Linked DNA regions of Mus musculus: regions 1 and 2 are each reported to be linked to region 3. Evidence: microRNA targets listed by miRTarBase, many of them from high-throughput screens and not tested one by one. Region 3 holds a microRNA gene; each other region holds the end of a gene's coding sequence.
What was found. Region 3 holds the annotated microRNA mmu-miR-30b-5p (UGUAAACAUCCUACACUCAGCU, at 2,072-2,093, opposite strand). A microRNA usually pairs through its seed, bases 2 to 8, with sites in the 3' UTR of a target mRNA and lowers its output. Matches are read on the target gene's strand: a 7mer-m8 pairs with bases 2 to 8, a 7mer-A1 pairs with bases 2 to 7 and ends in A, and an 8mer does both.

Region 1 (3,122 bases), not on the chromosome of region 3:
ATTTATATTTTTGAAAAATGGTATTAAAACTTTTCCAATATACAAATATACACAAAAGTTTAAAGCAAATTAATTGCTGGCAGTTGCCTAGATTAAATAATTATTAATTTTAAAATACTATTTTTTAGCACTTATCTCATTCAAGTTGCATATAAGTAATGCTGTAATGCCTTGCACATATTAAACCTTAACGATGTAGTTTATATACTACAAATATCTAGTGACCCTGCACTTACCAGACATATTTGTACAACTCCTGGGCTATAACTTCTTGAGTTATATACAATTTCCTTTAGCTCCAGTTTCTATTAAAGCTTATTCATATGATTTCTTGTGCTCACATTACACACTCAAAAATATTTGTTGAAGAAAATAAAAAAAATGCAGGGAAATTTTTACATTGAGGTTTGCAATATAAAACATGTCAGAGTTTATAGAATCTTTTATAGGGAAGGAATTAATATTCCATTCATTCAGCTCAGAACAGGAAATGGACCGTTTTCTTCTAATTGCATATAAAATGTGCTCCCATGACGTAGTCAAAAAAGGCAAGTTACCACAGGATGGGGAAAATATAGCTTGGAAATGAAGAAAAACAAAGTTGCAGATAAAAGGAATAATAAAGACACAAGAAGAGGTTTATCAATGTCACTCAGAAGACCCTCAGCAGGACGAATGTCACAGTCAACTCTGTCACAAAACACTATGGTCTTTCCTTAGCACGAGCCCTAGACCTGTGGACCATTAGAATGGTGCAGCTACATACTAATGTAATTTAAACAACTTCTTGGAAACAGATGAGGGGTCAAATCACAGTATGAGAGACTGAGAAAGACTTTACAGGAGTGATAAAGCAGATCTTGAAGGTCAACACATGCAAGAGTCTGGAGTCAAGTTCTGGTAGAAAATTGCTTTCTTTCTTTTTCTTACGTAAAGATTGGCATAGCAGGAACATAATGGCAGCAGGGTAAGTTGAGGAATTAAAAAAATAACTCTTAGGATATAGCCCAAGGAATCTGATCTCATTTTGGCCTGAAAGATGAAGTATGCTTGTGTGTATGGAGATTACGAAGAGCCAAGCACCAGTAAAGAACATAATGCATTTCAGACACATTGTAGGAGGCATGTAGACCAATAGGAAGAGCATCTATTTACTAGTGCTGACCATTGCAGTACTTGGGGAAAACTCGGACTGCTCTAATAAAGGTACTGCTGTGCAGGAAAGCCATTATGATTTCCACATGCGTGAAGGGAGCACAAGTCACGGGTTCTGATTAGACTCCACTTTAATCCCTTTTCCAAATGTGCTAAAGAACTCACTATTTATGTATATACCATAATGGTGTATGTTTATATGTTTGAGTTATTTTTTAAATTAATATATCTCCAGTGACTCATCTTAGAAAAGAACTATTATTTGTCTTTCAAAGGAATATTTTAAGTAGAAATGACAAACGGAACTGTGTTTTATCTGTTGTGTTGTACCTGGTTGTGTGATTTTTAAGCAAGTATCTAGGATTTCCTGAAGTATCTCACTTAGAATTGGGTCATAGGCACTCAAAACTTTCCACTGAGACTTGTCTATTTCTAAAGCATCTCTCAGATTTAGAGGCACTAAAAATAATTTCCACCTGAGATTCGCTGATTCGCTCTATACATTTTCCTAGAGAAAAACACTATCCCCAAGAAAGAAATTGTCTTTATCTCCCACCCTTGCCTTTCTCCCTCCTCCCCCCCCCCCCGTCTTCTTTGGTAAATTTCAATAAGACTATATGGCCAAAGAAACATTTGTCAAGAGAAATGCTGCATATCATTTTTAAAAGCAAGGACATGGAACTACCAATGGAGACCGACTTTGTAAGGTCAGCCAACCGCAGGAATTCCAATGAGAAAACAGATCTCACAATTTCTGTCTATTCACAGGTCTTATTTAAAGACATCCTCCCCCTAAACCTGCCCTCAATAATGTCACAGCAACTGTATAGCTGCCATTAACTCTGTCATCAATCTGTTATCAGGCAGGCACCCTGAACACAGTTTGCCTAGAGTTAAAAACATCAACCCATTTCATCTCTGTTTTGTTGTTGTTGTTGTTTGTTTTGTTTTGTTTTTCACTAAAAGCCCTCTGAAAATCTATTGCACATCACATTTTGACTGCCATTTTAAGAGTCATTTTTGGAAATATAAGCATGGAGACCAAAGGAACTACATAGCCATAGCCTGTGTAGTAGCCTGTTGTAATTAAAGGTAGGGAGGGGTGTTTCTTCCCTTCTCATGGAGATCTGTCAGATGAAAAAGTTGATTACACTCATCTGAAAAGTTTGAAATAATGGGTGAAATATAGTTTACTCGTACAATCAATTTTAGTCATTTTTTAAAAACCATGTAAACTCTTAAAATATGGGTGCACACAACACTTAAAAAAAAACTCTGCTTAGACATTACAAAAGAAAGTCAGAATGTCATTGGTTTTCTCCTAACTTTACAGTGTGATAGTGCATACATGTAAGGCTATCAGAAAGGCATTATAAAGACACATGACCTGACCATCCTGACTGAGAAAAAGATGGCACACCACAAGATTCAATTTTCACAAAGAAAACAAAGAAAAGTCATCACTTTTTGTGAAAGAGGAGCGGCTTCACCATGCCCGCCAGGATCTTGGGCAACTGGGCAGCAATAACTTCAGACATCATTTCCGGAAATTCCACAGCCAGTGTCCGGGATTGGATGAATGTATTCAAGCAGTACAGGTGGAGCTGTTTCACAAGCTGTTAGTTCAACACGTGGGTAGAAAATGAAAGACAAACAATACAATCACACACTGTGCAAATATGATAACATTTTTCTAATGCTGTAAGTACCTATCTAGATGCTTCTTCTTACCAGAATGCAAATAACTCTCTCCATGCTCCAGGGTAATGTGGAAATGGTTTATATACATAAGGGAGCATGATGATAGTATGGTGTTTACTTATTTTTGTCTTGTGTGTAGACATGCATCCCTTGAATGAACTGCCCATAGTAGCCAGCAGATGGCATCAGAGCCACTCGAATTGGAATTACAGATGCTTGCGAGCCACCATATATGTATGTCCTGAGACCTGAACCCAGTTCTTCTG
Region 2 (3,122 bases), not on the chromosome of region 3:
GTTCCCAGCAACTACATGGTGGCTCACAACCATCTGTAATGGGGTCTGATGCCCTCTTGTGGTGTGTCTGAGGACAGCTACACTGTACTCATATATATAAAATAAATCTTAAATATATTTTTAAAGTTAGGTATTTTTTAAATCAAAGTCAACCTGATTTAGTGAGTTCTAGGCCAGCCAGGACTATAGAGTGAGACCCTTTCTCAAAAGCAAAAACAAAAAAGACTTTAAAAAGTTGTCAGTCTGCGAATATAGCTCAGAGTTCCCCATTATGTACCCCGTTAATAAAAGTTATAATATGAAATTTAGGAATAGATAAAGCTGTTACCTGTATTAAACACGGTTCAAATCTATATGATACACTTACTTACATTTAAAACATTTGTTTTATTTCTAGGCTCCCGGGGGGCTTTCTGTGAAGTAAGACCAGATGATAAAAGGATTCTGGAATTTTACAGCAAGTTAGGCTGTTTTGAAATTGCAAAAATGGAAGGATTTCCAAAGGATGTGGTTATACTTGGTCGAAGCCTGTGACACTTGTTGGTACTGTGAACTGTCCAAAAGTCCCTTAACTCCGCCTTGTGGTTGGTGGTTGAGGTCTTCACACAGTTCAGTGTCTGGAGCTGGAGCGGCAGCAGATCAGCCAGTTGACTTGGAAACAAAGATGACTGTAAAGCGCACCCATCACCTTCTCAGATGCTCACTGGTTGGGAGAAGATAGTATTGCTGCATACCCCGTGCAGCTTGTGGTGTGCTCCTCTTTGGGTCTTGTGTTAGGGTCAGGGCCTCTTACGTGGGGCTCTCTAGGGAGAGATTCTTAAATAAATGGAGTCAGCACTATTTTCTGCATCCAGTGTGGTTGCATTTCTCACCTAAGAGCAACGAAGTTCACTCTCTTTACTCTCCTTGGTGTGCTGGATGAAATGTCTCTGTTCTTTGGAGACATGGCTGGAATGAGAAATTTAGTGAGTTTCAATTTGGGCAATTTTTCTGCTTTTTGTAAAGTTCTGGGCAACTGTCTCCTGTAACTGTTGGTTCAGGCCATTGAGCTTTGTTAGGGACAAATGTGCATTTGTTTGTGGCCAAGGCCTAAATTGACAAACTTGTAAATCTCTGTATATAGATTAGCTGTAACCCGACTGTTCTTTGTTTACTGTTTTATATATTATGGGGTTTTTTTTTCCTTTGAAAATGAAAGGTGTTGGTTTAGGATGGCACTTTGAATTATGTAAATCAGTGAATGGTAGATTTCCTTTACATCTGTCCTTTTCTTCCTAATAGTTTTTATTTTTGAAGTGCCTCCCACATAGGGTTAGGCCATGACTATTTAGGGTATGAGCACCTAACTTCTTATGACTCAGATATGTTGGGAAGTGCAGTAACTCCTGGGAATTAACCTTAATAGCAGATCCGCATGTGAAATGTTCTGACATTGTTAAGTAAGGGTAAGGGGACTGACCAGTGGTCTCCTTTGTCCTTGAACAGTTGTCATTTAATCGCAAAGACCTGTTAACTACTGGTTTAATCGAATCAGTCCTTAATTCTTGCATGTTTGTATCTAATTTTTAAAAGAAAGAATAAGTATATGTTAACAATATGTATACTTTTTCTTTTAATCAGAGATTCTGAAAACTTCATGTTATTTTAATTTAGATTTGGTGAATTTAAGGGTTTTGAGCATGAAGCTGGCACATAGTGTCTGCAGGATTATTATTCTTTAATCATGGCTAGCTATCTAGTAACGTCATAGATTTTCAACAGTCTTTTGTTACCTTGCTTTCCTCCAGTTCTACATAGCTTTTGAACTTTGAGCTGAGGGGGGAGAGAGAAGAGGGAGCTTGAAACATTTTCCTTTCTAGAACTCCAGTGTGAGCTTGTGAGGTAGTCTTTTAGCACTATATAGAGTGGACCCAGGGAGGCCCAAGAACCAGAGGCCCAAGAGTGTGCTGAAATGTGCCGCCTCCTTAGGGTGCGAACCTTTGCGATAGGATGTGCTGTGAAACCTAAGTCAAGGTTGGTTTTGAAGGCTGGGGTGAGGGGCAAAATTGTTACTAGATATTAAGACCGTTTAATGTTCCTTAGCGTTCTGAATCCATCTCATGCCTCAGTGAGAATTACAAGGTTTTATTCAGAGCGTTTCAGAGTTTCATACGGAATCAGGAATTGAACAAGTTGCTTTTTGTTTAATGTTGGCTTTCAATAATCACATGGGATGATCTTCTGGACATAAGTGAAAACATGTCCAGGTCTCTACTGTCATTGCTGTAGGATAAAGTGCTCTGCCATCTTCCATGGTTATGAATATTTATTAATGTTGGAATAACATTTCATTGTTTAGATCACAGCTCAGTTCCTATAGAAAACGAACTGTAAACCTATCTGCAGACCATGCAAGAGGCACAATAAAACTTGAAGTGAATGTGTGCTGTGCTGCTTTTTCTCTGGGTTCTCCCTTTTTTTCCCTCACATCTCTTGATCCCTTAGGTATCCGAAGCTATTTCAGTGTAGGCTGGATTGAAGACAGCCCTGCCCTCCTGCCTTCCACAGCAAAGATTTTTCTCAGAAAAGTACATTTGTTTTTGTTTTTAAGTAAGTTGCTCTGTTTACTACAGGTAAAATTTGTGTGAAGTTGGGGGGGGTGTCACAGAGTTCCTCACTGGAACATGGCTTCATTTCCTTAGATAAAGGAATTTTGGTGGTGGAGGGGGGGGGTGGGTCGCCTAAAGAGGAGGCTGTACTATGAACAGTAGTTGATCTCCACATCTGAGTTTAGGTCTTGGCTGTCAAGCCTCCAGCATGATCAGGAAGCGGGGGGGGGGGGGGGGGGGGGGGGGGTGTGAGTAAAAATGGCTGCTCCGTACCCCAAGTTTACTGAAAAAGGAGATACGAAAGGTTTACACTAACATCTGTATGTATATATCCCCGGGTTGGAAGAAGGGGCTTCAGTGAGTGGACGCTAACTTTAAGCCCTCGTGGAGATTTCTTCTGGGGCCTTGTTACCTGTCCTCGTGGAAGAGGCGACGACTGCTCCTCCCTGCTTCGTGTGGCGAGCGCGGCTCCTTTAATGGGCGGGACCGGAACTGGCTGAGGCGGGGGGCGGGGCGCTCACGGCCGTTTCAGCA
Region 3 (3,276 bases):
CACTTGATGCCCTGTCTTTCTACTAGAGGTAGACTCTACAAGTTCCCTCTCCCCACTGTTGGACATTTCATCTAAGGTCCCTCCTTTTAAGTTCTGAGAGTATCTCACCTCCCAGGTCTCTGCTACTTTCTAGAGGGTTCCCCCCCCCACTCCCCCCCTCAAGGTTGCATATCTCCATTTATTCTGCTGGCCCTCAGGGCTTCTCTCCTGTTTCTACCACCCCTATATCTGATCATGTTCCCCCTTTCCCCTCCCCTCCCCAGATCCCTCCTCCCTCCCTTTGCTTCCCTTGATGGCTTTCTTCTCCCTCCCAAGTGAGTGTCCTCATGGGCCCTTCTGCTTGTTAACCTTCTCTATGGATTGTATTCTGGGTATTCTGTACTTTTTTTTGGCTAATATCCACTTATTAGTGAGTACATATCATGCATGTCCTTTGGGGTCTAGGTTCTCTCAGTCAGAGTATTTTCTAGTTCTATACATTTACCTGCAAAACTCATGATGTCCTTGCTAATAGCTAAATAATATTCAATTGTGTAAATGACCCACATTTTCTGTATCCATTCTTCAGTTGTGGTGCATCTGGGTTGTTTCCAGCTTCTAGCTATCACAGATAAGGTTGCTATGAACATAGTGGAGCAAGTGCCCATGTGGTATAGTGGGGCACCTTTTGGGTATAAGCCCAAGAGTGGTATAGCTGGGTATTCAGAAAGATCTATTTCCAATTTTCTGAGAAACCTCCAGATTGATATTCAAAATGGTTGTACCAGTTTGCAATTCCACCAGCAATGGAGGATTGTTCCTCTTTCTCCACATCCTTGCCAACATGAGCTGTCACCTGAGTTTTTGGTCTTAGCCATTATGATTAGTGTAAATAATCTCAGGGTCATTTGATTTGCATTTCCCTGATGACTAAGGACTTTGAACATTTTTAAAAGTACTTCTTGGCCATTCGAGATTTTTCTGTTGTGAATTCTCTGTTTAGCTCTCTCTATACCCCATTTTTTGATTCGGTTGTTTGGGTTTTTGCTTCTTGAGTTCTTTCTATATTTTGGATATTAGGCCTCTATGGGATGTGGTGTTAGTGAAGATTTTTTTCCTCAATCTATAGGTTGCCAATTTGATTAACTGACTACATCCTTTGCCTTACAGAAGCTGAGAAGTTTCATGACGTTCCATTTATTAATTCTTGATCTTAGAGTCTGAGCCATTGGAGTTCTATTTAGGAAATACCCACCCCCACCTCCCCAGCCCAGTGCCAATGAGCTTGAGGCTCTTTCCCACTTTCTTTTCTATTAGAGTCAGTGAATCTGGTTTTATGTTGAGGTCCTTGATCCACTTGGACTTGAGCTTTGTGCCAGGTGACAAATATGGATCTATTTTCATTTTTCTACATACTAACTGCCAGTTAGACCAGTACCATTTATTGAAGATGCTTTCTTTTTTCCACTGTATATTTTTTGGCTTCTTTTTCAAATATCAAGTGTCCATAAGTGTGTGGTTTTATTTCTGAGTCTTCAATTCTATTACATTGATCAACCTGTCTGCCTGGTACAAATATAAAAGTAGCAGTTAGACCAATCAGGTCTGTGAAAAGGGTAATGGATTAAAAAATCTTAAAATAGTAACAATAATGATAACTACCGTATGTCAAGAACATTCAACTGACATCGACTCACTTCATCAACAATCCTGTCAGGTACTATGACAATGCAATTCAGCTGACAAAGAAGTGGAGACCAGGAAAATTAATACTTTCCTTAATTATTATAGAACCTGAAGCTAGGCTTAAGGCTATTTAGCAACAAATTACAGTGATATGTAAGATTTACACTACTTCTGAATCAAAATATTGGTATCATCTATATTAAGATAAACAAGTATCTATTTTAAATAGTACAGCAAGTATTTACTGAAAACCTAAATATAAACAGTATTTATAATAAGTGCCCTTTAGCTGGGCATGGTGATATACTCCTGTAATGCCACTTAAGTCATGTATCAATATGTTAACTGGTGGATACTCCAAGACAGCTGACGTAAACATCCACATCCCAGCCAACGCATGTATGACAGCTGAGTGTAGGATGTTTACATGAACTGAAACTTGGCTTAGAGAGAGACTTGAGAACTCTTTACTATGTTTATACTTGGTTTTTTACTTGAGGCTCAGACAATTTTGCAGAATCTGTTGAAAAAAAAATTAGGCACAGTGATCTACATGAGGACAAAATCAACTTGAAAGATATCTTCAGAGTAAGTATAGAATCCACAGAAACAGCAAACATTTATCGTTCTCTCTTTCATGCTCTCTCTCTCTCTCTCTCTCTCTCTCTCTCTCTCTCTCACACACACACACACACACACACACACACGTATGGCAAGAACACAGGAATTCTATAGCTTTTCCCACCTAAAGGCAACTTACTGTTCTGACAGCATTCAACTTTCTCCACCCTTTCCCTCTCTCTAAACAACTGCACCTCCATTTATAGGAGCCCATTTGATGGGCAATACGGTGTACCAATCCCCTATTCTTCCTTAACACCCAGGTCCTTGCACCACAGGCATGGCTTTCCCATATCTCTACCATGGGCCATTATTTAAAACATGGTAGCAAGGGGTAGCACAAGGACATCTACCCCTTTCTGTGTTCCTGATTTAATTAAAAAAAAAAATCACCAAATTCCTTTACTAAACATTAAAAGTTACTCTTGGAATACTTTCATCAGGGAAGAAGTCCTTAAATTAGGAAATAAAATTACATATAACACTGTCAGCAAACTAAAACTTCCTGGCATTTCAAAGATACGCCATCACCTCAGGAATCTCCTGTTTTCCTGGAGCAGCATTCTCAAAACTAATCTATCCCCACCTCCAACTCCTTTCTCCCCTTTAAACATGTTGCTTTTTCCTGTTTTCACTACAATTACAGTTTGCTTGTCTGATTTCCTGCTGTTTTTTGTAGACACATTTAATTCTTTGGGGTGGGCCAGTCCTTTTTTGCAATCAAACTTTAGGGTTTGGCATGGTGACACACACCTATAATTTGAGTGCTCTGGATTTTAGTTCTAGAGCAACAATAGAAACTTAGGAAATAAAGCAGATTCCTAAGCTCTATCCCAGACTTACTAGGGATGGAACTCTTTTTGGGGTCCTGCAGTCTGTGTTTTAGTAAGCTCACTGTAATTGTGATGCACAGTAGTATTTGAAAGCTGTTTTTCCTAAGTACATTGGGAAGCTAAAGCACTGGCAGCAGTGACTGTCCAATAATCAGGG

Region 1: the mRNA of Pgr is a reported target of mmu-miR-30b-5p. Seed matches in the 3' UTR shown: 7mer-A1 at 2,385-2,391.
Region 2: miRTarBase lists Oga as a target of mmu-miR-30b-5p. Seed matches in the 3' UTR shown: 7mer-m8 at 1,148-1,154.

The regions. Positions count from the first base shown.
Region 1 is chr9:8,964,632-8,967,753 of GRCm38, reverse strand. It overlaps Pgr (progesterone receptor), which reads right to left. Exons shown (of 8, transcript NM_008829.2): 8 at 1-2,771. The coding sequence ends at 2,616. Among named protein-coding and RNA genes, the nearest start is that of Pgr, 66 kb to the right of the region's middle.
Region 2 is chr19:45,749,556-45,752,677 of GRCm38, reverse strand. It overlaps Oga (O-GlcNAcase), which reads left to right. Exons shown (of 16, transcript NM_023799.4): 16 at 398-2,423. The coding sequence ends at 534. It overlaps Npm3 (nucleoplasmin 3), which reads left to right and starts at 3,113. Exons shown (of 6, transcript NM_008723.2): 1 at 3,113-3,122. The coding sequence starts at 3,122.
Region 3 is chr15:68,335,398-68,338,673 of GRCm38, forward strand. Mir30b (microRNA 30b) reads right to left here and starts at 2,113; the gene lies at 2,018-2,113.